2 linked regions of the Pelodiscus sinensis genome follow. The protein of the gene in region 2 interacts with the protein of the main gene of each other region in a pairwise test. Links are inferred from orthologs where the notes say so. Each region holds a gene or a part of one and is shown on either strand. Other genes may lie near its edges. The genes, in order: PDCD10 and PGCKA1.

Region 1 (15,392 bases), on a different chromosome or scaffold from region 2:
CACCCCAGAGGGCAGGTATGTGGGATCAGTGGTATGATCAGCACATTGGGTGAAACTCTCTAGGAGGATCTTAGCGATGCAACCCATCACACTTTCTCTCTTCCACACTTACGAAACACATTCCAAGACCATGCTCTTGAGATATCTAGCAAACTTCCCTAGTAGCGATCGTATAATTGAATAGTCATGTAACCGCACTCCAGGGGAGCCCCTGCTACTCTGAGGCAGCAGTGCAGGGTAGCAGGGGGAGCCAGTCCACGAGGGGAATCAGTTTAAAAACTACACCCCTCACGGACCAGCTGCTTGCTGCCCATGCTGCTGCCTCTTTACCAGAGGCAGCAGCACAGGGTGGCAGCAGCCCCTGTCTGCGGGGGGCGGGGGTCTGAGCTCCCCACAGAGGCTACTCCATTGGATGCAGAGTAGCTTCAGTCTGTGGGAAGAAAGCAGCGTCTGCCTTCGGCAAGCCCAGACCCGTGGTGGACACAGGCTGCCTCATGGCAGCCTCCCTTGCCGCCTCCCCCGCCCCCTCACTGTTGCCTCAGGGGGAAGAGGCAGGTGGTACCACAGAGCCAGCGCTGGGGACCAACTTTTAAGCTGGCTCCCACCAGCACAAGCTCCTGCTTCGGCCCCCCCACCCCTTCCTACCTCTGATACAGAGGCAGTCATGGGGCCGGGAGGGGAGGAAGAGAGAATGCAAGTAATCAACATGGTGAACCGATAAGTTTAGGGTTCTTGGTGTTTGTCTACTTGACTACTCAGTGACATCTCTATGATCTACCTACTAATGATAAAAAGCAGATCCTTAAAAACGTAAATTTTAACTATCTACATTAACCAAGAAAAAAAAATACTGTCAATGGTTATGACTCAATCTTCCTCTCCTTCGTCAGTGTGCCTCCACTTACTTTAGGGGAAAGATTTCAGATTTAATTCAGCATGATTGGCAAATCAATTTTTAAGTAGTTCCTGACCATCCATCCCCTCCCCCCCCCCATTTTACATGTTCATCTGACTTTACTCAAACCTTCATGTATATGTTTTTGGTGGGATATTTTACAGCAGTATTCTCCCTGCATCTTGGGAGTGTTTCATTTTAGCCTATGTCACTAAGATTAAAACAATTATACATTACTGTTTTAACCTTAATGATAGCTGCTGAACTCACTTGCAGTCTGCTGAGTGTTCAAAAAAAAAAAAAAAAAAAAAAAAAAAAAAAAAGAAGAGGTACTTCCAACTTATTACTAAAATAACCTTTAGAGGTAGCTGATAAAAGTTTTCTACATTGTCAGGATCAGGTTAAAACACCGTATTTCATTGGTTCTCATTGTCTCCATATTTCCCGCATGGAGTAAAGTCATATTGTATCCTCACAGGGTTCTACATAGTTATATCCACTTGTGATTCATGATCTACAAACATGCTCTCTGGATGTGGATATCCATGGATATAAAGCTGATATATGTAGAGTTCTGCAAATCTGCAGATAAAATGTTGGATCTGTATCCATCTGCTATCCACAAACACAGTCCATAGACATAAAGCTGATATTCACAGATTTGCAGGGCTCTGATCATATCACTGGCCTCAGGCAAATGACAGTTTGAATATTGCTTGTTCAACCATTTATGTATACATTTATTTCTTTTATTTTTCCCCATGTACATTGTAAAAAAAATAAAATGTAGCGGAAATAGTTGTGCTTTAGGCAAAAACCACTTAGCATTGTTACCCATTTGACCATTGGCCTATTCTATAGAAGTGCCCCAAACATGTCATAAGACTTGCTTTATAACAAGGCAATCAAATTACAAAGGATGAATATAAGCAAACACAGGAAGGCAGGGGCAAATTAGAAAGGCAAAGGCACAAATATGAGCTAAATCTAGCTAGAGACATGAAGGGTAACAAGACGACATTCTACAAATGTATTACAAGCAAGAGGAAGACCAAAGACAGTGTAAGCCCATTGCTCAGTGAAGAGGGAGAGACAGTCAACAGGAAATTTGGCAGTGGCAAGGGCACTTAATGACTTCTTTGTTTCAGTTTTCACCAAGATGTTTGGTGGTGATGGGATTCCTAACAGTGAATGCTAGTGGAATTGTGGTGGGTTTAGCAGTTAAAATACAGGCAGTTATGAACAGGGCCCTCCCTCTCCCTGGTCTCCAGCAGACCAGGGACGGGGAGGAAAGCGGCGGAACACGCGGGCAGCGGACAGCCCAGACGCGTCTGGGCTGTCCGCTGGCCGCGTGCTCCGCGGTTTTGCTCTGCTCTGCTCCCCCTGGGGACGGGGAGCAAAGCAGAGCAAAGCCGCGGAGCCCGAGGGCAGCAGGATAGCCACAGCGCGTCTGGGCTGTCCCGCTGCCCCCGTTCTCCGCGGCTTTGCTCCTGACGCCTGTGGTACAGCAGCTGGGGCGCTGCCGGTTGGTCCCGTAGCGCCACTCTGGGTGGCGCTGGACCAACCCAGCAGCACCCCAGCTGCTTTGCCCCAGGTGTCCCCAAGTCAGCCGCTGCTGCAACCCCGGGCTTCCTGGAATCAGCTGCTGATCAGTTTCAGCAGCAGCTGACTTGGGGATGACTGGGTTTCTTAAGTTGAATCTGTATGTAAGTCAGAACTGGCCTCCAGATTCAGCCGCTGTTGAAACTGATCAGTTTCAGCAGCGGCTGAATCTGGACGCCAGTTCCGACTTACATACAGATTCAACTTAAGAACAAACCTACAGTCCCTATCTTGTACGTAACCCGGGGACTGCCTGTAATAATAATAAAAAAAGAACCAAGTGAAAAACTACTTAGAAAAGTCAGATGTCTTCAAGTCACCAGGGCATGATGAAATACATCCTAGAATACTCAAGGAGCTGCTAGAGGAGATATCTGAGCCTTTAGCTCTCATCTTTGAGAAATCATGGACAGCAGGAGAGATTCCAGAAGACCGGAAAAGGGTAAATATAGTGCCCATCTATAAAAAGGAAAAATAAGACCAATCCAGAAAGCTATAGACCAGTCAGTTTAACTTTTGTGCCAGAGAAGATAATGGAACAAGTAATTAAGGGATTCATCTACAAACCTCTGGAAGATAATATGGTAATAGAAATCCATGCTGGCTGTTGCCTACTACCATAAGAACAGCCATACTGGGTCAGACCAATGGTTCATCTAGCCCAGTATCCTGTCTGCCGACAGTGGCCAATACTAGATGCCCCAGAGGGAGGGGGACAACGGGTAATCCTCACATGATCTCTCCCATCATCCAGCCCCGGAGAAACAGAGGCTAGGTATACCATTCCTACCCATCCTGGCTAATAGCCATTGATGTACCTAACCTCCATGAATCTATCTAACAGGGTTCAAAAAAGAGCTGAAGTCCTAACCTTCACCATGTCCTCTGACAAGGAGTTCCACAGGTTGACTGTGTGCTGAGTGAAGAAAGAACAAATTATGTCAAACCAATCTAACAGCTTTCTTTGAAAGGATATCAAGTATTGTGGTTCTGTTCAATATCTTCATTAAGTATTTAGATGATGGCACAGAGAGTATGACTATTAAGTATGCAGATGATACCAAGCTGCTTTGGAGATAAGGTCAAAATTCAAAACAAATTGGACAAATTGGAGAAATGGTCTGAGGTAAACAAGATGAAGGTTAATAAGGACAAATGCAAAATACTTCACGTAGGAAGGAACAATCAGTTTCATACATACAGACGGGGAAGCGACTGTCCAGGAAGGAGTACTGTGGAAAGGGATTTAGGGGTCATAGTGGACAACAAGTTAAATGAGTCAACAGTGTCACACTGTTGCAAAAAAAAGCAAACATGATTCTGGGATGCATTAACAAGAGCGTTTGAGCAAGACACGCAAAGTCATTCTTCTGCTTACTCTGTGCTGATTAGGCCTCAGTTGGAGTATTGTGTCCAGTTCTGGGCACCACATTTCAAGAAAGATGTGGTGAAACTGAAGAAGATCCAGAGAAGAGCAACAAAAATGATTAAAGGTCTAGAAAACATGACCTATGAAGGAAAGCTGAAAGAATTGGGCTTGTTTAGTTTAAAAGATATAAGACAGAGGGGACACAATAGCAGTTTTCAAGCATCTAAAAGAGTGTCACAAGGAGGAGAGAGAAAAATTGTTCTTGTCTTCTGATGATAGGACAAGAAGCAATGGGTTTAAATTGCAGCAAGGGAAGGTTAGGATGGACATTAGGTAAATCTTCTTGTCAGGGTGGTTAAATACTGAAATAAACAGCCTAGGGAGGTTGTGGAATTTCCATCACTGCAGATATTTAAGAGCAGGTTGGATAGATATCAGGGATGATGTAGATCATGGGTTCCCAAACTTTGGGGATGCCCCCTGGAGGTGCATGAAGAAATTCCAGGAGGGGCACAAGACATCCCAGCCCCTTCCACCCCCATCAAGTTTTGCTGCCCTGGTCAGTTTTTTTTTTTTTGCGCTCAACAATTTTGCTGCTAATTTTTTTTTCGGGGGGGGGGGGGGGCGAAAATGAGGGGGTCTCAAAAAATCAAAAAGGGGGCATGAATATAGAATATTCTTCTATATTTTTAAACAGAAGTTTGCATTATTAAACAACTTAATTTAGAAACACACAGTTTATTGTCCTTATGCACATGTAAGAAACAGTTTATGTCTGTCTCACCCCCTCCGCCCCACCCACACATCCTCCCATTGATTTGTTTTGTGGACTCTGCAAAGCACAAGACACTTCACCCAATCCGTAGCCCTCCCCCCCATCCCTTCATAGGGCTTACCAAAACAAGACCTACCATTACAACTATAGAAACAAATGTTTTTGGGATGCCAAATGAAGTTAAAAGCTATTAATGATATTAATATTTTTGCACATTACACAAATTTGAGGTCTTCCTCATCAATAATTAGAGATGTGCATTAATTGGTGTTCAATGGATGACACAAAGGTTAAAAATAAAACAAAGCAGGGCACAGTGAAGGGAATACCTTTATTTTCTAATTAGAGCATACCACTGAGTTACCATCCTGTGTATGGCTTTCATTATGCATTCAGTTATTGGGACCTAACAGGTGATGCACGGTTCCATGTTGTGTTGTAGTTCCAAATACTTGAGATCTCTGTTTCTACACTGCAAAGTTGGAGCTTGTATGGCATGTATGGTGTTCCATAGACAGTCCCTTTTTGTTGCTAAAGGGAAACTATTAACCATTGGCTATATCATCACTTACCCATTCATTCAGCTGTTGTAAGCCTTTCATAGGAAAAGTGCCATCATTATCATTTTATACAGTATTCTTAAACTCTTTACATAGAGGTAACAAATTTAAGACACCTGAATTTAAAGCCAAATTTTTGACATGTTTAAGTTTTAATGTTAAAGTTCAAAAGCTTTTCTGTAACAGTAGCTCTTAGTAACTAACCAATGTTAGCATGGCTTAAACAGGGAAAAGGATGGACTTAGAACAATGATATGATTTTGACCTTTACAGTACCTTTGATTTAAAAATATGAAATTGCTTTACATAATTATAATACTTTTATTAATAACAAGTGTTACATACAAATTAGTATCTAAAATAATTAATATACAAATAGTCTGGTAAATATACATTGGCAGAGGAGGCTAGTCATTCTATTGAGATGTCAAGAGATGTGTGAGATTCTGAAGGAGGGAGATTTCAGATATGGCGTGTTGTGTATTTTAGTCACAAAATACAAAAGTCTTCTGTTACAAAGAGAAAGTAACTTTATACTCAAATTGAAAAGTTTTTCTACTGATAGGGTACACTTACAAACTACATATATGCACACACAGATTTTTTATATATATATATATATATATATATATATATATATATATATATATATATATATATACACACACACACACACACACACACACACTAAAGTATCCACCTGTTTTAAATACTACCTCTGCACTCATTCTCAAGTAATTTAAAAGTGAACACCTATAATTAATTTATTTTATTTCTTTTTCAGTTTTAAGAACTTCTTCAGAGTTCTAAATAGCTTTGCTGTAGAAAACAACACATCCTGAATCGTATCAACAAACAACCGATGCTGGTCCCAGTTTACAGTAATTGACACAGTCGTAAGGCAAGTACAACAAATCCACGACTCCGTTCTACAAATCTATAAGGGATGTGCATACACAGTCTATAAAAAACATTAGAGCGTGAAGAAAAACCGTTTTATTTAATACGGTAAAAGATTTTAGGGGTGGCGACCAACCTATCCCTAGACGAGGTAACAAATATCGACAGCCGGAGCCAGGAATTTATTTCACACGTTGTGAGCGAGCTGTCTGAACAACTGACAAGTGAAGTGGGTTTAAAGCACTCACACATACACTGCACACGCACCAGTGTTCAGCCATAGTCAGAGGGAGACTTTCCAACAGCTCCCTACAAATGCAACGCAAAGTCAATGGACGTGCAAACATTTAGCATGCAACAAAACAGAGAGTCGGCGAAAAAAGGATTTCCTAGGGCGAGGAGCCCACCGCAAGCAACCAGGTCGCCCGCCCAGCCAAGTAACTGATAGCGCTTACCTCCCTCGGAGCGGTTCTGCAGCAGCTGCGAACGCTAGAACGGGGAGCCTGCCGGTGTTGGAGCAGCCTGTGGTCCAGAGACCGCTTCAGGAATTGTTTCTGTGGCGTCTGCCGACGCCTGCAAATTCTCACGCCTGCCCCGCCCCTTTCGGGACCACGCCCCCTCGTCTAGTCCGGCACTCCAATTGGGCTAGCTCTGCGACGACTCCTCCTCCAACTCTTCCTACTCCCCCCCTTCTACGCCGCAAGCTGGCCCTCGCGTTGCCTTGTGGGCGTTGTAGTCGTGTGGAACGGCACTACAGGTCCCAGGAGCCCATGCGGCTTGCAGGTTGGTTCCGGCAACGCCTGGTGTGTGTGGTCACCGCGGGGAACGTTTCCGTCTCGCAGGCACTTCCGGCAAGGCAGCGGAGCCCACTCTAAAGTCCCCGAGGGGTGGGGGGGAGGTAGGTACCGGGCTGTGTGTGCCCCCTTTTCGGAGGAGGGGGGGACGAGGCGCTCGGTGCCCACGGCTCGGGCAGGGTCACTAGTGTGTTTGTGTAGGGCCTGCTGATTCCCTCGCGGCTGCGCTGCGCTCGGGGCGTAGGGCGCCTTGGAGAATCCGGGCCCCGCCTGAGGGTCACGCTCAGAGGGGCTGTGGGTCTCCAGTGGGGCGGGGCAGGCCACGCTGTGGAGGAGGGGCTGGCCATGCCCAGGGCCTGGGCTCCTAGGGCTGGGGGCGGGCGTCTCCCCCCGGCAGAGAGCAGCAGGCGGAGGTCAGCCCGTGCAGGTGCACAGCCGGACCCGAGCCCGGGGAGGCTGCCCTTCGGCCCTGTCGCCAGGCTTCGCTCTGCCCCCGCCGCGTGCCGGAGGCTAAGGGTGTAGTGCTTCTGGCTGGCGCTGTTCCGCACCCGTCTCCCCTTTGGGCCACCTCTAAGGGGGCCCGATTTTCGGACGGAGTAGTTTCTGAATGGCAGGCTGAGCATCCTCCCTCACTTGGAAAAAAAAAGTCTTGGTCTGAGTGCATCTCTTGTGTGCCCTTGGCATGGAATGTTTGGAAACGGGGCCTTGGTTTGATTTACTAGTTTGTAAACTATTTTCAGGACCTAATGATAGGAGCAGCTTCTCTTTTGTAGTTGGTTTGGTTTGGGTTTGCGGGTGGGGGTGGTTGTTTTTTGTAACGCCAATCTTCTAGCAGTGTGTATGAGAAGCCGAAAGTGAAACTGACCTATTTGTTATTCCAGTTTAATAAGTGGCAAAAAAAAGCAAACAACGTGAATGATTAGTTGCTTTTTCAGTTTAATAATGGAAGAGGAACATAAGGAAAACTTAAAACAGGCGAATTTATGACCTTCCAAAGTGTCTACAAGCAGTATCTGTAACTCATGCTTGGTTGATTTCCCCTCCTCCAGCATGACAGTATCAGGGTCAAGCTTTTGTGTTGCTTCTGTATTACAGGAAATAAGTTCACCTGAAGAAGATCTCTGTGTGGCTTGAAAACTTGTCTCTTGCCATCAGAAATTGGTCCAATAAAAGATTCCCTTCTTGTGTCAGCTTCACAATTTACTTGGTGGGCTGGGGTAATATTGAGATTAGTGTTACATAATGGTTTTTCTTAAATATCTGTTCTATTTTACTTTCTAGCTGCACCTGATTAAATCTCAGAGATAGCAACAGTAGCTTTATGTTCAAATTCCAGAGACTGAATAGGTAGAGAGAACTTGATCTAGAAACTGGTGTATATTGTCACCTTCTCCATGTTCATTGCTGGGATTACATTGCATCCATGATGATAATCTGTTGCTTTACTAAATAAAGGTGTGGGATCTTTGCCGATTTATACTTTATGCAGTCACTTTAATTTGACTATGTACAGAAATTGGAGCCCACCCTAAGATGGCTTTCTTGTGTAAGGGATAGATAGAGGTAAACATAGTTCACTTTTAAAACATCTGCCTCTTGACTGTGAGGTGTTAATCTCACATTGGTGTTCACCATTTCAGAATAATGTATTTATTGGAATGGGAGTAAATTGCAAAACTGGTGAGATTCAGATCAGTTTTTTAATTAAGTAGACTGTAGGGATGAGTAACCAGTTACCCAATAAGCATCACCTTTACTGGGTGATCCTTACCGGTAACTGCTTAACCAGTGGCCCAGCTGGGCTAGAGCAACCACCTGCCCACAAGATCCTGGTTAAATAGAACGTTTAACATTCTTTTTAACTGGTTAACTTTTTAACCAGGATTTTACATCCCTAGAAAACCAGTGGTTTGAGTTCCAGGGACAGATATTCATGTTTCCTTTAAATGGTTTGCACAATCTAAATGGTGGCAGTCAGTCATATTCAAAACAATAAAGTGTACCTGATTTCCGATATGCAGTTACATTTTTATTGTAAGTGAACACAGTTATATTTATAAATGCTTCTATGTTTTCTATATAAGTATAACATTTTTGGAGACATGTCTCAATAATGACTGTAAGGATATAAATTACCTGATTTTAGTTGGTTTTGCCAAGCACATAAAACTTTATTGAAATAGCTTATTGTCACATAGCTTAAGTGTAGCCATAAGTGGAGGATCTTTACTTTTGGAAAGTTTTTGCATAAACCAGTTTTGAAACTTTAATGGGGTATTTCACTTTCTGAAAACATTCTTTTAGTTCCCTGATCAATGAAACTGCTCAGTGTGTGAGGCAGGGTAGGTGAGAATCTATACAAATAAATGCTTATTCCTTCTTTTATTTTATTTTCACTCAGATTAGCAAAAATTTAATTACAGTGGCTGAATTTGTCTTGGACTCATGTTTGGTAAAATCATTCAATGTTGTTCCAGTGAATGCAACAACATTTACTCTAACTAAACTAAATTTTCATTCAAAAATAACAGGTCCTTCAAAAGTGCATTGATCAGGAGGTTTGCTGCAATTTTTCCTGAAATGAAGAAAAATTTAGTATAGTGGCTTATATTTTGTCCAGAGTTGGTTAATCATTTACAAACCTGAGTACAGTTTAGTTACTCATAAAGTTGAAACATGATTAAAACAAACCAATGTTATTTTTCATCAAATCACAAACATTGCCACCTTGCCTTCACTTGGTGGCTGAATCAAGCTCCTCCTGATAGGAAATTTCTGATTACAAAGATAAAAGCCAAGCTTCCTGATTCTATGGATGGAGGATAGGGTCTACTCAGGACAAATGTTTTTTCTCTAGTTGAGTTTAAGCCAGTGACAGTAGAAATGTTGGGGGTTATTGTTCCTCAACCTGACCTCTTTTGAATTTTTTTTTCTATCTAGAGAATTTGAGGAACCAATTAGTGCTTCCCATAGTGAGGGTAGGATGGTGACTTTTCTGAGGAAATTTATTACTCAGCCTCTGCTCAAGAAATCAACACTTGACATTGGAAATCTGCTAAATTATTGTCTGATGTCTATCTTCAATTTTTGGAAAATTGTAGTGATTCAATTTTGAGTACCTTGATATCTTAGATGATCTTGACCTGAAACTACACTGATGATATTGATTGACCTCCTGCTGGTAATAGATGGGGATTAATGCATGATAACTTTTTCTATAGTTGATCATGAGTTGATGAGATATAGCCTCATTTTTTTTACTGAAATTTTCTAAAAAGTTATGCTAGGCAACTGCCTTTCCATACCCAATGGCACTATCATACAGGTTATAGAACACTGGAGTTCTGTCTTCCCACTTGGGAAGATTATTGAGGAGAGGTGTGGTATGTGGTGGTGATCAGTAAACTGATTTCTGCTGCTTAGCCTTATGTTTGTGGGTATGGATGAAAATAAGATGCTGAAGTTCAATCTGGATAAGACAAAAAGCAATGCTGGTAATTAGAGGGGAGCAGTTACAAGACAAAGTCTCTTTTTATTGAGGATTGATATATTCTATTTGTTAGTAGATATTGCAAAATGGAGTTGGTAGATACTTGACTAATGAGTAACAGTGTCTAGGAAGAAATTACAGCCCCTTCCCCCCCCCCCCCCATCTTTGCTAAGTTGTGAGAGGGCCAATTTGTTGGGATGTAGCCTAGGGATGTAAGGGACTAATCAACTATCTGATAAGCATAAGCAGTCAGTTGATTAGTGACTCTTTAGTTGCTCCCTCCTTCCCTCCCTGCACTGCATCTATCAGAGGCAGCAAGGGGGGTGGGGAGCAGGAGCTGGCTTAAAAGCCAGTTTCCCCTCAGCACCGTCTCCATGGCAGGGGAGACAGAGCCATGGCGGGGGACTGGGTGTAAGCTGATTCCCGGCTTGTGCCCAGTCCTAGAGCTGTGTCTTTGCTTTTTAAATATCTTAAGAGCTGGCTGGCTCTTAATGCATTTAATAGACTGAAGCACAGCTTGAGGAACCAGGCACAAGCCCGGAATCAGCCTACTGGCTCTCAAATCATTTAAAAGGCAGAGCTGCAGCAGGGTTAGCTCCCGGTGCTAGGAGCTAACTCTGCTCTGGCTCTGCAGTTTCCTTTGCTTATCGTCTAGTCCAGTGTTTCTCAACTTTTTTATAAAGTATCCCTTTTTAAAAAAAAAAAATTGTAAGTACCCTCAGGGTACAGTTTTTAGACACACACAATTTTTTCTAACATTGCAACACATTTGTTTAAACAACTTAATCACAGCTGGGTGGGAATGACATTTTTGGGTGTAAAAATTCAAAAATAATGAAGTGCTGTAAAATTTAAAACACAAATTAAGTTTTCTCCAAATTTCAGTTGACGTTACCTCTCTTCTCCTCCACCCCCCCACCCCCGACTTCTCTCAAGTACCCCTAAGGGTACTTGTACCAGTGGTTGAGAAGCACTGGACTAGTTGATGGACACTCTATTGACTAATCAAATTGGTTGTTTAAACACAATTTAACATTCCTAATATGGACCATGCCACTGCAGTCCATGCCTTTGTCGCTTTGAGGTTACAGAGTTTTACTACAGAGGGAACACCTTTTTAAGATGTACTGAAAACTGTTAGCTGGCACAGGATGCAGCAACCTGCATCTTAAGTGGTGTATCTTGTATGTAACATGTGATATCAGTGCTTTGTGAGATGCACTGAGTTCTTCCTGGTTTTCGGGTTAATATTTGGTGCTTGTGTTGGAGCTCCTCTGTATGAAAAAGCAGGACCTAGAACAGACTTTTTGTGAAGGGCTTTTGGCTCTGGGGCATACCTTTTTTCCTTCCCTTTCTTTTTAACCCTGAAGTCTGAATAACCTGATTTTGTTCATCTTCAAGATAGCTAGAATTTTGGGGGTGGAAGCAGCACAATAAAACTCCTGGCTTTGGAGTGTGGAATGGATAACCTGCTGGCTTTACTTCTGACTTGATTGAATTTGCCAATAATTAAACATACATCTACAGATTAGAATAGTCTTGTTTGTATAGATGTATGTGTGCTTATGTTTAATAAGGATTTAGTAAGGTCCACTGGGAAAGCAGTGTTCTAAGTTTTGTAAATTCAAAGATAAATGAACCTGAATTGTGTTGGAAATTTAGAATTTTCATGAACTACATGGTAGCTGGGCTTGTAACTAAGACGGGTTCCCCAGGTGTGACAGATTTCACATCCTACCTCATTTCTATTCATAAGAGCTATAGATCAGTGCTCCCTGTAACCTGAGTGCTTGGGAGACCACCCAGGAGCAATTCAAATGCTGCCTACCTGATTAGGAGAGCAGTCATAACCAGCAGCATTTATGTCTACTGGTGGAGTACATCCACATGTGCCTCAGTGCACATAAAATGTATTCTGCACATGGATGGGAAAATTAAAGGGAACAGTGACTGTCACAGATAGTAAATGCACTGTCCTGTGACTCCTCTACCACAGGGGTTCTCAAGCTTCATTGTACCAGAACCCTCTTTTGGCAATCAAAGTTACTACATAAGCCTAGAAAGAAGGACCAAAGCCTGAGCCTGTCCAAGCCCCACTGTCCTGGGTGGCCGAGCCAAAGCCTGATCTGCACCACCTTGTGGAGGATGAAAGCCCAATGGCTTTAGCCCCAAGCAGGGGGTTTGCAACCTGAGCCCCAGAGCAGAATAACAGCTAAGCCAGTTCTGACAATCCCATTAATATGTGATCCCAACTTCTGGTTTGAGAACTGCTGGTCTGCCATACTGGTTCAGATATTCAGCATTCCATCAGTCCATCTTTCTGCAATGGGCCATAGATAAGATTGCATCTTTTTTTTTTTTTTTTAATGTACCATTGAGTCAATACACTTCCACCATCATCACCAGGTGATGAGCTGGAGAGTCAACTTCCTGGAGTAGAGACAATATCCTGTGTGTTTTGCAGTGCCAGGTGTGCGCCTGATTCTCTAACTATCTTGTTCTGACTTCCTTTTCTGGCGCTCGCTCTATCCTAGGTTTTTGTATTGAACGACTCTCATTACTATGCTAAAAACTTAAAAAACAACAAATAGTCTAGTAGCACTTTAAAGATATATGGTCACCTTAAAGACTAACAAAACATGTAGATGGTATCATGACTGTTTGTGGGCAAAACCCACTTCTTCAAATGACTAGCATTACCATTCTAAGCACCTGTCCTTTTAGGTAGGCAAATTTAGATTCTTTGGTGGTTCTTTTTTGGGATGGGTTTTTATTTTAGGGAGCCTGGGATTACTGGTTTAAATGTAATTGTGGAAAAACTTTTATCAAGAAAGTCTTGCAGCATACCCTGAGCATGGTCACTGTCTGCGTTAGTCTAATATTCTCTGGAAGTTTGTTCATCAGCTAAATTCCCTTAATTGGATGCCTTATTTTCTGTTCACCTGCTTGATTCTGTACATTGTGAACTGCAATGTTGTAGACAAATGCAGCTGGTTGCACATGAACAAAGGAGTCTCTACTGTAGCTGAAATCTGGTCCATTAACAACTTTAAAAGGTAGAAGCCAGCAAAAGCAGAGTAAGTCAGTAGAGGGACTGAGATACAGGTTTGAATACAGATTGGAGTTTAAGCTAATAGTTTTCATTGTTATGGGTCGCAACGCAATGCTGGGTCATGGAAAGTCAGGCACTGGGTTGCTTTGCTGTAGGCTGATGAGGTGACCAGCCGTGATGCTAAGGCCAGCCTTCTGAAAGCAAGCAGCCGCAGGTCCAGCTCATAGGTGAAGGCAAGTAGCCCACTCTCACAAGATTAAAAAAGCAAGTCAAGCCTACTTCAAAACAAGCCCAAAATGAACTCCTTCCATTTTTGCTCAGCAATGCCTGGTGCCAAACCAGGAACTGGCCAATCGGAATGTGGAGCCAAAGCTTTGGGCAGGGCTGCTGCTGGCCACTTGCAAAGTGCAGTGTGGTCCACTATGCCTGCCTTACCATCCCACTGCATCAAGGACTAGGACATGCTGGGTGTATCCCTGTGCCCCAATAATCCTCTGTGCCAGCCCTTAGCCTCCCCACCCCGCCCAGAAACCTCTCCTGCACTCCAAACACCTCATCTCCAGCCCCATCCCATAGCCTGCATTCCCCGGACAGAGCCTACATTCTCTGTACCCCATCCCCATGTCCCAGCCTAGAGTCCCTGTCCACAATTTAACTTCTTTGCCCCATCCCCTCGCCTTGCATCCCAAACCCCTCATCGCTGGCCCCACTCCAGAGCCCACACCTCCAAGTAAAGCCTCATCCCTGTGGCTCCACCTTGTAGCCTGCACTCGTCCAGTCAAATGATATAATTCATAGGCATCAACAATTTTCTTCAAGGAGTTATGAGAAAAAAAAAGTTTGAAAACCACTGATTTAAGCTTTGGAGAGGCAGACATTTAGCGCCTTTATACTGTTTTCATAGTGAGCTTTCGTGTCTTGAAATTGCACTCTTTGTATCCTGTTCATCCTCTACATGTGTGTTGAGGGTCTCTTTCTTTAAATATAACTGATGTCCACCATTACCCCATACACTCTGTATCAGAGCTGGGCAGTAATTTTTGATGGGGAAGGGGGGCATTCCAAGACTTTGGAAAGAGGTTAAGGGCTGCATTTCTCTCTGGAGGGGGTTTGGGGTTTGTGACAGAGGGTATGTTCAGAAGGCAGCTTCATGTAGGGGGTTGGGATGCAAGAGAGGGTGTAGGATCTGAGAAGGAGTTTGGGTGAAGTAATAGGTTGTGAGCTGAGGCAGGAGATTGGTGTGCAGGATCCGGGAGGGTGTAGGAGTGATTTTTTTTTTTTACCTGGGAGGGGCATATAGAAGGGAGTGCAGGCTCTGGGGGAGAATTGTGACCTGGGAGGGGATGTGTGCACAGAAGGTTTGGGTGGTGATCTAGGGCAGGAGGGGATGACATCCTAGGGCAGGAAGTTAGGATTGGCTGGGGTGCAAGAGGCAGGCTCTGGATAAGAATAACTTATCTTAGCTCCCAGCCAGCAGTCCAAGACCATCCCTGAGATAGGCTTCTTCCTGCAGCAGCCCCAAGCTGCACAAGGAGGTTCCCTCCATGTGTGGCTCAGGGCAGCGCGTTCCTGGGGGGCAAGAGACTTTGTGTGCTCTCCTGCCCTCCTCCAATCATATCAGGTGGGTGCAGGACCTGGGGGGGGGGTGAGAACTCTCTTACCCCTCCCCCCAGCAGAATCATGCGGCGTCTAGAGGGAACCGCCAGCTGTTTTGAACAGTTGGTGGCTCCCTCTATCTGTCATGCACCTCTGGTGGGGGTGAGGGGAGGAGACTTCACACAACCCCTCACCCCAGGCCAATTGAGGGCACCTTGCTGTTCAAAATAGCTGGCAGCTCTCTCTGGAAGACACGCACCCATGGCAGAGGAGAACCACCAGCTGTTTTGAACAGCTTCAGAGTCAGATCAAATGGCTTGGTGGGTCGGATCCGTCCTATAGATCAGCTCTTGCCCACC
Region 2 (16,043 bases):
GAGTTATTGTCACCAGAGGAAGAGTTGAGCCCTCTTTTGCTTAAATATCTTCTGCTGCTAGTCCCACTACAGTTTAGGACACATCTAGCTTTTTGTGTTAAGAAAAAGAGAAACTTTTTTCCTTTCAATATAAACAGTGGCTAAGAGAAAAAACACCCCAACTATTGTAATTCCGGTGTTAAATATAAACTACTAACATATAAAAGGGAAGGTTTTAAAAAGTTGACAAGATAAGGAAACGTTCTGTGCTTGTTTCATTTAAATTAAGATAGTTAAAAGCAGCATTTTTTTCTGCACAGTAAAGTTTCAAGGCTGTATTAAGTCAATTTTTAGTTATAAATTTTGAAAAAACAACCATACTACTTTTTCAGGGATGCAGATACCTTAGGAGGAATAGAGGTGAGTTTATAGCTCTAAGATTATATGCTATTGAATTTTGACAAGAGATCAAAATGGATGATTTGTTTGATGACAGAGAGGAAAATCTAACATTAGGGAAGAGATTTAGGAACACTGAGGTTGGGGTTTTTTCCCCCGGAAGATATGGGAACATTGCCATTGTACACAGTCAGAGAAGTGCCACCATATATTTATGGTGATTGAGAGAATAGTGTCAGCTTGAATTCAGGGGAAACAGAAGGAATGCTTTCCCCTTTGATAAACAGACATTAGAAAAGCGGGAAAATTCCCCTTTTAAGTGTTTACTAGTAGCATTCTGCAATCTGGCCATGCAGGTGAAGAGAATGGAATGAGGCCTTTCTTGAAATATGTATTTAAGAAGGGAGAGGAACGTATCATAACTTCTGTAAACGAAACGTGCAGTGCAAGGCAGAGTATAAAAAACCTCCACTTTGCTTGAACAAAAGGGAGAAACGTAATACTTCTGACTTTTGTATTGTGTAATAACATAGGTTGTATTGTGTATTTAGACTGTGACATGTAGTATGGATAAACAAAAAGTACAAGTGAGAAGACGTCATGCATAGGGAAGGGCAAATTATTTCAGTGCAACAAAACCCAACCAGCACTATCTCCCAAAACAATGATTGTAGCAAATTAAAAACTGTACTATTGTTTTAAGTGGCTGATCCTTTCTTAGTTGTTTTAATGTACTGTTTCTGTTCCTTTCCTGGTGTTGGGGCCAGGAATAAAAAACAAATGCCAGGAGAGACATTCTAATGGTATTTTTGACTCAGCCCAGACTACTGAGGACTAGAAATCAGACTGAGAGAGTTTTTGCAAGATTATACAGTCTGATTTTTAGGCCAAAGTTTTGGATAAGATCTGAACTTCTTCTAAACTAAACCAAACCACTGGGTTACCAAGTAATCAGGCATTTACCTATATATTGGCTACTTCAGTAAGCCATTGGGCTAATTTCCCCCTCTCCCCTTCTAATGCACTGTGTAATGCCAGCTGACCCTGGTCTTCTGCAGGCAGAATCAAACCTGGGATCCTCTGGAACTTAGTGCATGAGCTAAAAGCCATCTGGTGCTCAGCTAAGGCTATAGAACAGACTCCCTTTACATGGAAGAGTATACCAGTAGGTGTGTGTTATAACTTCAGTGCACATCTGGGTTAAGATGATACAGAGGTAACCAATGAAAAACCCTGCTGATTTCTGCTTCCTGTTGTATTAGCCCACAGTCTCTTCACTACCCCAGACTCCTGCCAGCCAGTGATTAAAAGCACCAGTTTGAATTCCCTAACTGGTTCCTGTTCCACCTACAAAACACACAACTCCTCCCTGCTTAGGGTTATGAGAGAGGAAGTCCAGCAGCCTAATCCTCACTGCCAAGATAAACCCAGCCATATTTCATAATTTCTATTACAATCTCAGGCCTCATCAGACACCCTCAAAACACCTGACCTTTTCAGAAGCAAGTGTGGGATGAGGATAGATTATTTGAGCAGACGAATGGGAAGGAAAGAGAAGAAACAAAATAGATTTTGGGCAGTAACGATATCCTCATGGGCTTTTTATGGTATGAACTCCGGTTCGCATGATGTGCTGCATAGGTATCAGAATCTCATTTAAGAATTTCAAAGGTAACTTGTGAATATGCATGTGAGTACACATGTATGAGGTCTGAGAGAGTAGCAGGGCTGTCCGTGGTGGGGAGTGAGGTAATGCAGAAGATTAGTGATGAGTGAAGACAAAGAAATGAGTGATAAGGAAGATGGGAAAAATCAGTGGTGAGAAAAGAATGGAAAGATTATGGAATAGCAGGTACAGCTGGGAAGAGGAGAGAAGAAACACAGGAATAGAAAGGTTGGAGACTATTAATCTTAAGCAGAGAAACACCAGCATATAGTAAAAGGAGGGAGGAAATGTAATGAAAATAAGGAAAAGGGAAATAGAAAAAGAAAAATGAGACACAAATTTAGAATTCCAATCCAGCAAAAACGTAAGCAGTATCTGTCATTTGGGCAACAAATATGCTTAAACGTGGTTTGCTGGATTGCTCCCTGTTTACTCTACAGGTTGAAGTTAAAATGAGAGCGAAATTAAAACTATGTAGATTCTTTAAATTTTAAAATGATTCAGAATTCTTTGGTAGCAGCATTCTTTTGATTTATAACCCAAACTATGCATAGTTTGGTATGGAAGCATCAGTAGGAAATCCCTAGTTAAATTTGCATTAAGATTTGTCTCTCTACTTCCTACTTTAAGAACGGAACTAAGTCTTGAAATTTACCACAATAGCGCATCAGAGGAAAATTAATGTTCCATGTAACTACCTTCTTTAAGAAAAGCAATTACTAGCTAGCTTGAGCAGGAGAGAGACTTCTAAATGATCCCTTACTGAATTTGATCCTGATGTGTCTCATATTTCTCTGGCTCTCTGTAACCACACAAACACAATCGTCCCAAATTCCACCTTCCTTTCAGCACACCCACACTCTGTCTCATAGTATAACGTGAGAAGTCACTTTTATGCATGATATTTAAACACACATGGTTGAATTGGCACCTCACAATTGGTCCCCAGTAGGAGGAAACATGTAGTTACACCATTCCAACAGCAGAATAAAGGCCACGCTGTAACTCTGAAGGTCACAATTCAGTCCTTGCTTCTGCCACTTTTTCGTAAGGAAAGTAAGTGCAGCAGCAGCATTTTTCCTGCTTTACCAAAAACCAAACCTCTGTCTGCTGCATGAGGAGCATCTCTTGGCAGTGTCTCTTCTCCATGCTGCTGCCCTTGAAATGCTTATTCTACTTTGCTGACTTGCACAGGAGCATTAATGGGGTCAGGTGCCCCAAAGAACTGGTTCCCTAATTTTCCACTTTTAATTTTGCTTTGCATGGAAATACTGCCAGAGTTGCCTGGATCCCCCAGCTTCTCATGTTTTATGCTCTCACCCTGGCCTGACTCCCTAACTTATCAGCTGTCCTCCTTCTCAAATCTCTCTCCCCTACTGACTATGGAAAGGCAGGAAGAAAAGTTGCTTATCAGGGAGCCCTGGTCCCTAATCCATAAGCCTTCTTCCTCCATTGTTCCACTAAGATGGAGTGTACATCAGTGCAAGGTCAGAATCTCAAGCCTGACTTTGCAGTAAATTCCATCCTGTGTTTGCTTTTTCCCAACCTTAAGTATGACCTGAGATTTTTTTTCATATATGAACTTCACCACTGCAAGGCTGTGTCTAGACTGGCATGATTTTGCAGTCAAAAGTTTTTCCGTTAAAAGTATTTCCACAAAAGCGCGTCTAGATTGGCACAGATGTTTTTGTGCAAAAAGTGCTTTTGAGCAAAAGCATCCATGGTCAGTCTAAATGCGATTTTGCGCAAGAAAGCCCCGATCGCCATTTTAGCCATTGGGGCTTTTTTGTGCAAAACAGTTCTTCCCTGTCTACACTGGCCCTCTTCCGCAAGTATTCTTGTGCAAGAGCAAGTATTCTTGCAAAAGAAGGCTTTTTCCTGAGCGGGAGCGTGAAAGTATTTGCGCAAGAAGCACTGATTTTGTACATTACAAAGTCAGTGTTCTTGCGCAAATTCAAGCGGCCAGTGTAGACAGCTGGCAAGCTTTTGCACAAAATCTTGCCAGTCTAGATGCCCCCGTTGTGTTTGGCTACAATGGGTGCTGTTTAGGGATGTTAGATGGCAGGTAATTTAATAGTCATGTAACTGCACAAAATACTGTCGGTTTCATGACTATTTGATAGTCCCCGGGGGTGGAGCCAACAGCCAGCGCACTCCCAACCCCACTCCCAGGGAGCGCCCTGCCACTCCCCAGCACTGTGTGGGCTGGCAGGCGGGAGCTGGTTCATGAGGGGAGCCAGTTTAAAAACCAGCTCCCTGCTCAGACTGTCTGCTTGCTTCCCCGTGCTGCTGCCTCTGATAGGCAGCAGCACAGGGTGGCAACAGCCCCTGTCCACAGGAGTCTGAGTTCTGTGTGGACAGAGGCTGCCGTGGGGCGGGGACGGGGAGGCTGATGCGAAGCACCCTCTGTCCATGGCAGCCTGTGCTGGCTGTGGGCGAGGCTGTTCTGGCAGGAGCCCCTGTCTGCAGGGACCCCCCAGCTTCCCACAGACAGAAGTTACAGGAGGCCTCGGTGGGAGGCGTAGCAATCTTCTTGAAACACTTTTTTGAAGCAATTTTTATAATCTAAATATCTCAGAAGCCCATTTGACAATATTTTCTATAATGTTTTCCATAAAAAAATTGAAAATCCCTAAAATAAAAAATCTCATTTGAACATTTCAAAATGAAAACGATTTCATAATGTGTGTGTGCTTGTAAAATAGTTATTTGTTATTCAACCAGCTCTTATTATGGTGTTTTAGTGGTAAAGTATATTGGAGGTTGGCGCGTATGTAAATATTTTCTTAAGTAGTGATTCTGGTTTTAAAAATATTTCATTAGCAGATAATGCATTTGGGCAACACTAACTCTCAACAGATTTTTGTATGGGTTTTGTGTATGTGTATTGTTAATGGTACATTATGCTCATCTGTCTTACCTCTGTGACCTGCTCTCTTTCTGAGTTTTGCTAGCCCTCCCAGCTATGCTCAAAAGCTCTTCCAAAATTGATCTGCCAAGTCTACAACTCAGGCTGGCTGACAAATGAGAATTCTATTGGCCTCATTCCACACTGGAACAGAAGCCAAACCTTTGAGAACATTTTTTCAAAACAAGAACAAGCCGACTGTTTGGAGGCACTCAGGAGTATGGGGGAGACCCAGGTTTAAGTCCCTGCTCTGAATCAGGGAGATTGATTCTATGCCTTTCTGGCTCTTCTGTTTGGAGCTGTTCCATTGGAGATAAATAAAATAACCACTGGACCAGAGAGAGAGAGATTGATTTGGTAGCTGGTTCTCCATGGTGCCGTCTGCTCCCTCCCCTGCCCTGCTGCCTCTATCCGAGGCAGCAGCGGAGGGGAGTGGGAAGGGGGAGGCTGCCATAAAACAGCCTCTGCCTACAGCGGGCCCTGGCTCACCCTGGACAGAGGCTGCTCTGCATCCTGTAGAGCAGCCTCTGTCTGTGGCGAGCCTGGGCCCACCGCAGGCAGAGGCTGTTTTGTGGCAGCAGTCCCTATCTGTGGGGTGGGGTTGGGTAGTGTGCCGAGTTCCCTGCAGAGAGGGGTTGCTGCTGGAGGAGCCTCTGTCTGCAGTGAGCCTGAGTCCTCTACAGGCAGAGCAGTGCTGTCTGTGGTGAGCTCGGACCCCTCTGGACAGGGGCTGCTAACACAAAACAGCCTCTGCTCGTGGCAGACCCAGGCTCGCCGTGGACAGAGGTTGTTCCAGCAGCAGTCCCTGTCCACGGAGAGCTTACCCACGGACAGTGGCTGCTGCTACCCCATGCTGCTGCCTCTATATCGGAGGCAGCAGTGCGGGGTGGCAGGCAGCTGGTCTGCGTGGGGAGCTGGTTTTTTAAATTGGCTCCCCTTGCAGACTGGCTCCCACCTCATACAGAGGCAGTAGCACAGGGCTGCAGGGAGGGAGCCAGTCTGCATGGGGAGCTAGTTTTTAAACCAGCTCCCCATACAGACCGGCTCTCACCTGCCACCCTGCACTGCTGCCTCTGATACAGAGGCAGCACTGTGGGATGGCAGGGATTCCCTGGGAGTGAGGCCAGGACCGCACTGGCTGCTGGCTTTGCCCCAGGGAGCTATTGAATAGTTGTGTAACTGATAATATTTTGTGTGGTTACACAACTATTAATTTACCCACTATCTAACATCCTAACATAAACATTTGGACATAGAAATTGTTTTGTTGTCACAAATAGGACTATTACTTCAGCAAGGGAATAAAGGAAAAGCAGCAGAACCCTTAAGCAACTCAGTTGCTGTTGGTGTACAAATATTCAGAGTAAAAATTGTTACTCAAAATTAAGATATGATAGAGGTCTATAAAATCATGAGTGGTTTGGAGAAAGTGAATAAGGAAAAGTTATTCACTTGTTCCTATAATATAAGAAGTAGGGGCCACCAAATGAAACGAATGGGCAGCAGGTTTAAAACAAATAAAAGGAACTACTTCTTCACACAGCACATAGTCAATCTGTGGAACTCCTTGCCTGAGGAGGTTGTGAAGGGTAGGACTATAACAGGATTAAAAAGAGAACAAGATACATTCATGGAGGTTAAGTCCATTAATGGCTATTAGCCAGTATGGGTAAGGAATGGTGTTCCTAGCCTGTTTGTCAGAGGGTGGAGATGGATGGCAGGAGAGAGATCGCTTGATCATTACCTGTTCAATTCACTCTCTCTGGGACACCTGGCATTGACCACTGTCGGCAGACAGGGTACTGGGCTGGATGGACCTTTGGTCTGACCCAGTATGGCCATTCTTATGTTCTTAGTATTTAAAAATAAATTATTCCCCAAATTACAGCATACTTACCAAATAGCCAATGGGAGTTGACCGATCATGATTTTAACATCTGGCTGTGTGGTAACACCTGAAAATATATGTGTGTGTGTGTGTGTTCAAGAAATCTGCCAAAATAATAATAATAATAATAATAATACCACCACCGGGCTTTTCATGCCAGGACCTCAATATGCTGTGCAAACATTAATTATTACAATTTACTTGCAAATTACTTCGAACTATTAAATGCTACAAAAAGGGTTTACTTCTGGCATATCCACAATGGTCAATAACGGAGGAGTATGGTCTTTCGGTCAAAGGATGTGTCTAGCATGTATCGTGGTCAGGTACATGCTTCAGTTTGGAGTATATTTCTGAATAATAAGAAAATGCATCCTTATGAGGTGGAGCCCAACTCCTGACTGGTGAAAACCTGCGCTAATTGGCAAGATGCCTGGAGCAGATGCTGTACCTGCTAGCATCCCTCCTTCCACTCATTATGCTCAACAGGGCAAGATTTGGTGTGAACTGTATTTGTCCAAAAATACGTACTAATTGGTGTCTGTATATGCAGTAATAATATTAAGAATTTTTAGCAAATGTAGTTTGCCAGATTGTGTACATTTTTGGTGGTGACCTTACTACATGAGAGGCAGCCCCCTTTTTCCCCTTCTCCCCCTTTCCTTTCTCTGTTAATGATTTTATCTGGTCATCATGATATCTTGTGCTCTTTAGTAACCCACACACATTCTGGGTGTGGGGTGTAGTTGTACTGTTGCACCTTGTGGCAGTAAGATCACTTACAGAGAGAATGAATCTGCTCTACAGTCTGAGCTGAAAACCCGCAGGGTTTTAGCTCCTGTGGCAGAGGCTTATGCATTAAGCTCTAGATGTCCCAGGTTCGATTCCGCCTGCTGGTGTTACAGTTGCATCTTCTTTGTCTACCTTTCCCCTCTTGTTGAAGACTCCCTGACCAGCAGCTACAAATGAGCAAAGCTCTTCCATTGGAAGCAAAGTTTAAATGTTCCCACCCAGCACTGACAGACACTTCCTGGCACATGACAATGTTTGTTTAATGCTGTTTCACAGGTGACTTGACACCAGTGTGGTGTAGCTCATGCTGACTCACAGTGATGGTTTCTGCAGTAGGCATATATGGTTGCCTAGCTAAGCTTCTCATAAGACAGGTAATAATCATTCCTGGTTATTTTAAGCCCTGCTGGCTCCGTAACCTCATAACTTTGTGTGTAAAATCCCTCCTGTTCTCTCTTGGTGCCGTGTTAGATCTTCTCTCCCCAGTGGAAGCTTTTCCAGCCCTTGAGCATCATCAGTGGTGGTATGTTAGCTATTTTTTCTCCAGGAAGAAGGGAAGGTATTTTCCAGCCAGGTATTTTATTTTGCTTCCTTCATAAGGAGGCCCCCTTAAAGGCTGTTCTGCGTACCTGAGAGTGTTGTGCTCCTGCAATGCTGCTCCTGCTTTCCAGCTTTCTCTCTTAACCTGTCCAGCATTCCTTCCCTTTATAAAACAGGCTTTAGCAGGGTTGCCAGATGGTTGAAACAAAAATACCTAATACCCCGTCCCCCCCTCAAAAAAAACCCACAGGGAAAAAATTCTGTTGAATAAAAAAAAAAGGGGGGGGGGCGAGACCAAAGTTGTTGAGCAAAAAAAAAAAAAGGACTCCAAGACTTAAGTAATAATAATAATTAATAATAATAACAAAAATAAAACAGCATGTCCCCTTTAAGAGTGAGTGCAGGGATAGAAACAGGGGAGTGGTTGAGCACTAAGACCTAGGGGAGTCATTGCTTCCCCTTGATCTTTTTGCCGGCAGCCATTTTGTGACGGCAGCCTTGCGGAAACAGGTAAGCATGGGGTTAGGGAGCTGGAGTTGTTGGCTGCTGGGGAGTTTGGGGGTGGGGGAAAGCCGGGTGCTGAGTGTTTGTAGGGTTGCTAGGTGTCTGGCATTTTCGCCTCCTGGCCAGGGAAGAAAAATCAGAAAATACTGGACATCTTAGGTGTCCGGCATTTTCTGAATTTTTTTTTACCAGACAGGAGGTGAAAATATCAGACTGTCCGGGTGAATACCAGACACCTGGCAACCCTAGGCTCTAATGTCCAAGGCTGCATGTGTGAGTTACTGCTGAGTACTTAGGGCCTGGGCCTGCTTGGTGCTGAATGCCTTCTGTGAGGTACTGAGCTCCCTTGGGTCTCACTGAGGTTGATGAGAATTGTGGGTGCTCTGTGCCAGGCAGAAGATGTTCACTGCCTTTGCAGGACAGGCCCTTAATGACTAACATGTTTGCTTACAGTCTTTGTGCTGTTATCTAGTATCCAAGTTACTGCTCTGAGATATCTCCACTTTGAAAAGAGCTGTGTAACATGGTGTGTAATACTCAAACACTTAAATTAAATTAATGGAGATTGTCTGTCTCCTAGAACTGGAAGGGACCTTGAAAGGTCATGGAGTCCAGTCCCCTGCCTTCACAGCAGGACCAAGTACGGTCCCTGATAAATTTTTGCCCCAAATCCCTAAATGGCCTCCGCAAGGATTGAACACAACCCTGGGTTTAGCAGGCCAATGCTCAAACCACTGAGCTATCCCTCCCTCAGTAGCTTTTCTATTCCTCTTCATGTCTGTCTTTGTCTCAATGTTTCTCTAGCAAACACTCATACTCTTGTGTTGTGTGTGTCACAAAAATCTTTGTTTTTTTTTATATGGCATTTGTCTCTTTTCCAATTCCATGGAGGAAGTTAGAGGGACTACAGACTTGTAAGGCGCTAATTAGTAAAAGCGTATGGTGGGTCTTAATCACACTGATCAGTAAAACATAGTGAGGCATAATTCTGTCCTTTACATTATTATACCTTTAAAACAGAGAAGAATGTGTCCTGTCTGAGATCCCTGTTCTACCACCCAAAATAGTAAGTCAAAGAAAATCATCTCACCCCACAATTTACCATGTAAAATTAAAATATCATTTTCATTTTAGATTATTAAAAGGAAGTATGGGGCAAAGGGTAAATCCCTTGCAATCATTAGCTAGTGTGCAGATGGGACAAACAAATACCAGTTGCATAAAAATAACTCACTTCCTCTTCAGAAGCCTTTCCTGGATTTACTTTAATTTCTCATGATTGCTGAAGTTCATTTGTCCTAGGTTGTAAGTGACCACTTGTATTAATTACTTGTATCTGGTAGTGTCTAGGTGTCAGGGCCCCTTTGAGCTAACCGCCACATACTTCTCTAAAATGCAGACCCTTTCTTAAAGAGTTTTACAGCTTAACCATATGACCAGAGGCAATAGATAGTTCCAGCCAACAGCTGAGGGGAAAGACAAGCTAAGAGCATGCGAATCATATTTGATTCAGAGAGTAACAGTCACATCATGTCCACTGCTTCCCCATTTTAATATCCTTTGTTCCCTTGGTTATTGTTTCTAATACTGCATAACACTGTAATATCACTACTTTGTCAATTATTACTTAAGTGTGCAGAAGATGGACAGTTGGTCATTCTAGCCAAGGGTGATCACATTGCTGGGATTCTGTACCACTAAGTGACATCACTGGAATGCACAGACAAAGCCAGCTCAGAGCTGAATTGGCAGCTGAGTCTGGTGTGCCAGCATATCCTGTTTGGCCAGCATTACTAGTGTCTGACCTCATCCACCAATCCATTGCTGCAGTATTAATTTAGGTCAGCTTGCTCACAGTAATTATAATAATAAAGAATAGGTATGTCAGATTCTGAATGTGTGTTCCCGTGCTACATATGTCAGTGGACATGTTTCTGTACCATTTGGTACACTTTGTCTGGCCTTGTGTTCTTAGCATGAGTTCTTACAAACACGCTTATTGGCATAATATGTAGTGGGAAGAGAGGTGGAAATACATTCAGCTGCAAATGGGATTAATTTTATTTTAACATTGTTCCAACATAATATGAATTATATTGTAATATGCTGCTCAATCTATTTTAAAATATTCTGTAAGTATGAGGCTCTTGTGGGAGAAAGTGTTACTCACCAAATTCTGGGGTTAGAATGGGAAGTTCAATCTAGAAATAGTCTTTTAAAACTGATTATTTTTAGGACACTATTTAAAAGGCTTTAATGTGGCCTGCTCAGATGAATGCCATATAGTAGGCTGTAGAATGACTCGAATGTATTGATGGCAGCTTGATTAAGGTTCCAGGATAAGCTGTCTACATCGGTAACATTCACTGACAGCCACCATGGGCCCTGGAGCAAGGTGTGGGGGCTAGCTCCACATCCTGGAAGGCGTGGGGCTGAGGGCAGAAGGGGTGGGGTTGAGGGCAGTCAGCCCCATAGTGTAGCCCAGACTGCAGCACACACGCCTCCATGCCCCAGCCCTCAGACACTCGTGGAGCGCCCGGCGTGGCATGCTGGCAGCAATTCAGAAGGACCTGGGCCAGTGTTCCCTCTAAGATTTTCCATTCGTGAGCAGAGTGAGTTTTGCCTTGTGCACCAATATTGATGTTGTGTGTGCTTCTTTGGATGTGTGCCACCCTGGCACCCACAAGTTACTAACAAAATTTGTATATAAATTTAAATTATGTAAGAAAAATACTAAAACAAGGGATAATTAACAAGGTTCTATGATTCTAAGGTGCATGACTCTGCACCTACCCACCCTGAAAACCACCCAGCTTGGCACCTAGCCTTGCTCCCACCGTTACTGCATCCGTGGGTTCCCCAACCCCTACACTCCCAACCTGTGCACCCTTTACCACTAACCCTGCATTATGTCCCCTTCGTCCCTAACTTCTGCACAGTGCCCCTTTCATCCCAGCCCCTGCACTTTTCTCCCAGCTGTGCCTCCAACCCCCACCCTGTGCTTCCAGCATGTCCTGCCATGATGCCCCCTGCCCAGTATCCTCCTCCCCCTTTGCCCAGCAATACCCATGCCCAGGTGTCCTTTGCTGTCTGGCTGTGGCACCCTGGGGATGAGCCCAGTTTGCCCAGCCCTAGGGCCGGCCCTGCGACAGGGCAGCTGATCACCATGTGACTCTGGCCCAAGCTCTCGCTGCCACTCCCCACATGGCAGCTCCGGCTGTGGCTGCTGAAGCTGCTGCTGCCACCTGCTACATGGCAGTCCCGGCAGCCAGAGCCACCCACCACGTAGCCTGCCCTGGCCACAGTTCCAGCCCTGGGGTGCAGGTGCGCACCTTAAAGGGAATCATGGCCTGGGCTAATGGTGAGTCTCATCCTCCAGGGTAGTGGAGACTCAGTGTATTATAGATACACAGTGTTACTGAAACTTGTGGAGGGAATAGCAGGACTTGCTTACTCGTTTGCCCAGCACCCATTGCAAGCCAATTCAGCATTTTGCTGAAGTGAAGTGAAGAAGTGAAGTGACAAGTCCTTGGGTTGTGAGGAGAAGCTTGGAAATGTAAACGAAACCAAGACAGTGGTCGGGCTAAAGCCCAGGTTCTTAAGATTCTGAGTTTAGATGTTCTTCAGTAAAAGCAGAATGTTCTGCATTCATAGGATCTGATTATCTGCTTCGTAACTTAGGAAACACAATTAGCTGCAGTCCTGACTGGGGAATTCAAAGGACCATTGCTATTTTGCTTCAGGGATTTTTAAAGGAAATCATTAGAAAAATGTCTTGTAGTGAACTTGTTCGACACAGTGTATGGATATGCTTGGAGGGAGGCATGCTTTGGGAATTAATATGTACCAGACATACTTAAGTTTTAATGTTTTATTTTAAAACATGTGCCTGCTTAATATGGAGTTACAGTCAAAATATTGTGATGTAAAATGGCAATGCTGTTCCTTGTGTATATGGCCTTTCATGACAATCTTTAAACTGTTTTTGTGTCCTAATAGTCTACATTTGGCTTTCAGGACCTTCCTCTTGTATTCCCTTTATATTTGAAGTACCATTCTGGACCTAGTAGATCTCACTAGAGGTTTTGGTAGATGTTTTGTGAAATCTGCCACCTATTTGCTGTTATGGCAAGTCATGTAATGTCTGTTGTAGTCACCACCTACCCAGCTATCTCTCCATGTGTCCTTCAGTCATGACACTGATTTAATCAACTGGAGAATCAAGACAGCCTTTTCTGAAGTTGGCATATCGTAGAGTGCCCTTTTACAATGTCTCCATAAATAATTAGGTTTCCCCCCATTTAGCAGCTCTGGCTGAAAGATGCTGAGGGATATGTGTTTCTTGCTCTGGGCGCATACAAGTGGCCACAAGGCAAACAGTCATGCATTTAGCCCTCTAGGACTCACCCAACTCCCTTTGATGTAAACAGAGGACTTTCCATTGAGGTCATTGAAAATTGGTGCAGGGCTACAGTGCACTGAACTCCATAGTCCCTACCCTGACTAATCTATGGCTATTTCTCTAGTTCCTTTGGATACACTGAGGTTTTTTAATGTAATTACTTTGCTATGCTTTCTTCTACTAGTTCTTATTTGAGCATCCCACTCTTCTTCGCACCAGACTCCCATGCTGTTCAGACTTCCGTGTATTTGCTCTGTCTGATGCCTATCTCAGCGTGAGAGCTTAGATCAGTGGTTCTTGATGTTTTGAGACTCAGGACCCATTTGTAAACATTTATGGCCTATTATGACCCAGTAAATGGTGTGGGGATAGAGGCCCTGGCATGGTTTCAGCCAGATCCTGCCTTCCCAACAGGCTGGGGCCTGCTTGGCACTAACCTCCTGCAGCTCCTTTTTGGCGGGACTGTTTGAGCTTGGCTGTCTGCTCTAGGGTCGCCTGAGTGGACCAAGTGTGAGTGGAGTTATGACCTGACTCATGGAGTTGCAATGGCACTCGGACTTGTACAACTTGGACTCCTGTTGTCACAATGGCTGGGCCACTCCTGAATGGCGCTGGGATCCCCAAAGGTGTCAGTGCCTGGAGCAGAAATGCAAGCCTTATGGGACAGGAGCTGCCACAAAAACCTTTGAAACAATCTGTCCCAGTTTTGGATCCCGACTCATGGGTTGAGAAACCCTGCTTTAGTTTATTAAGGATAAGATCTAAATCCAAGGCCACATCTGCACTTGCTGGAGGATCGATGCTCTAGCGATCGATTATCTGAGGTTTGATTTAGCACGTCTACTAAAGTAGCTGTGATGAGGAGTAAGGAAGTTGATGGGATTGTTTCTCCCATCAACCTCACACTATGGGACTGTCCTAGAAAACTGATGCAAGTTATGTTGACTACAGCTATGAAATTCACATAGTTGGAGTTGCCTATCTTGCATTGATTTTTCTCCACCAGTGTAGACCTGGCCTTGGTAGCTTTCTCAAAAATACTTCTGGTTCCAAATAGAGCAACAGCTAAACAGGGGAGACGTGATGGTTTTGTGGCTTAGAAGACAGTGCAAAGAGGAAGGGTTTAAATGTATTTGGTTCTGTGGAATTTTTTTGGCTCAAGAAGAGCCTGTACAGAAGGGATGGAATTAAATTGTTGTATGAAATATGGACATGATTTTAGTGGATAATTTGAATGCTGAAGAAAGCCAACAGGTGCTAAGAAGCACTCAGGTCAGACAAAGACGTCTATTAAGGGATGGCAATAGAACAAAGGTGTCTCTGTATCCAGTAAAGGATAGGACAGAAATTACAGCTAAACTATAGAAAGGACAGGTTGAGATCAGAGAAGTACATTCCAGAAAAATAACAGGGTATCAGATTAAAGAGTTGAATTAAAATAGGCACACAGCCAGAAATTAAAACTAGAACTGGCTAGAAATGAATGTGAGAAGCCTACATTTAAAAAATAGGTGAACTAAAATGCCTGATAATAAAAAGGGATCTTGATAAAGTAGGTATTTCTGAAATATGATAGGATGACAGTAGTAGTGGGCTAGTCAACAGAAAATCATGCTACCTTGTTACAAACTGGTTGTTATAGCGCAGCTTTCTTATTGCTTCCTCCGACGCATCAGGTGCTGGCCACTGTCAGAGACACTGTCTGATGCTAATTTCTATGCTTTCTTTACTATCAGCAGTGCATAGTTTATCCAGAAAAATGAGGACAAGCTTGATTTCTGACTTTGGTATCAGCAGCTAATTCTGCTCTTATTTACATATTTGCGACCTCCCCAAAATTAGATGAGGATTGGTAAAATGCAAGTAAGGGCAGAATGTATACTACAAAATATTTATTACTGCAGGTACCTCATGTTATGCTACCTTCTGAGCCAGAACAACAAGGAGGTTTTACTTGCATAGGTCCTCAAACTCCTACTTTAGACTTGACCAAAGCCTACAAGCTTGCTGATGGTGGAATCACTTTCTCATCTTGGGATGTTTGTTTTTGTTTTTTTCCTTTTTGGCTTTTCTAGAGGAATTTTTCTAGAGTCAGTTTTATAAATTATAGAATCATAGAATACTAGGACTGGAAGGGACCTCGACAGGTCATAGAGTCCAGTCCCCTGTCCTCATGGCAGGACCAAGAACTGACTAGACCATTCCTGATGAACATTTATCTAACCTACTCTTAAATATCTCCAGAGATGGAGATTCCACAACCTCCATGGGCAATTTATTCCAGTGTTTGACTACCCGGACAGTTAGGAACTTTTTCCTAATTTCTAACCTAAACCTCCCGTGCTGCAGTTTAAGCCCATTGCTTCTTGTTCTATCCTCAGAGGCCAAGATGAACAAGTTTTCTCCCTCCTCCTCATGACACCCTTTTAGATATCTGAAAACTGCTATTATGTCCCCCCTCAATCTTCTCTTTTCTAAACTAAACAAACCCAATTCTTTCAGCCTTCCTACATAGGTCATGTTCTCTAGACCTTTAATCATTCTTGTTGCTCTTCTCTGGACCCTCTCCAATTTCTCCACATCTTTCTTGAAATGCAGTGCCCAGAACTGGACACAATACTCCAACTGAGGCCTAACCAGCGCAGGGTAGAGCGGAAGAATGACTTATTGTGTCTTGCTCACAACACACCGGTTAATGCATCCCAGAATCATGTTTGCTTTTTTTGCAACAGCATCACACTGCTGACTCATATTTAGCTTGTGGTCCACTATAACCCTAGATTCCTTTCTGCCATACTTCTTCCTAGACAGTCGCTTCCCATTCTGTATGTGTGAAACTGATTGTTCCTTCCTGAGTGGAGCACTTTGCATTTGTCTTTATTAAACTTCATCCTGCTTACCTCAGACAATTTCTCCAATTTGTCCAGATCGTTTTGAATTATGACCCTATCCTCCAGAGCGGTCG

What was found.
Region 1: the proteins of PGCKA1 (region 2) and PDCD10 interact in binary tests that used the Homo sapiens proteins (3 or more experiments, as listed by UniProt). The two-hybrid records come from large-scale screens. The link is inferred for Pelodiscus sinensis from reciprocal best matches to the Homo sapiens genes PGCKA1 and PDCD10.

The regions. Positions count from the first base shown.
Region 1 is NC_134720.1:37,046,764-37,062,155, reverse strand, and holds the start of PDCD10 (programmed cell death protein 10), read left to right. Parts: upstream 1-6,862; 5' UTR 6,863-6,999; intron 7,000-15,392. UniProt on the Homo sapiens protein: Promotes cell proliferation. Modulates apoptotic pathways. Increases mitogen-activated protein kinase activity and STK26 activity. Important for cell migration, and for normal structure and assembly of the Golgi complex.
Region 2 is NC_134715.1:94,229,181-94,245,223, forward strand, and holds the start of PGCKA1 (PDCD10 and GCKIII kinases-associated protein 1), read right to left. Parts: upstream 8,344-16,043; 5' UTR 8,329-8,343; coding exon 8,262-8,328; intron 6,908-8,261; coding exon 6,850-6,907; intron 1-6,849. UniProt on the Homo sapiens protein: Acts as a tumor suppressor. Acts as a tumor suppressor for colorectal cancer cell proliferation by targeting KEAP1/USP17/ELK1/CDK6 axis.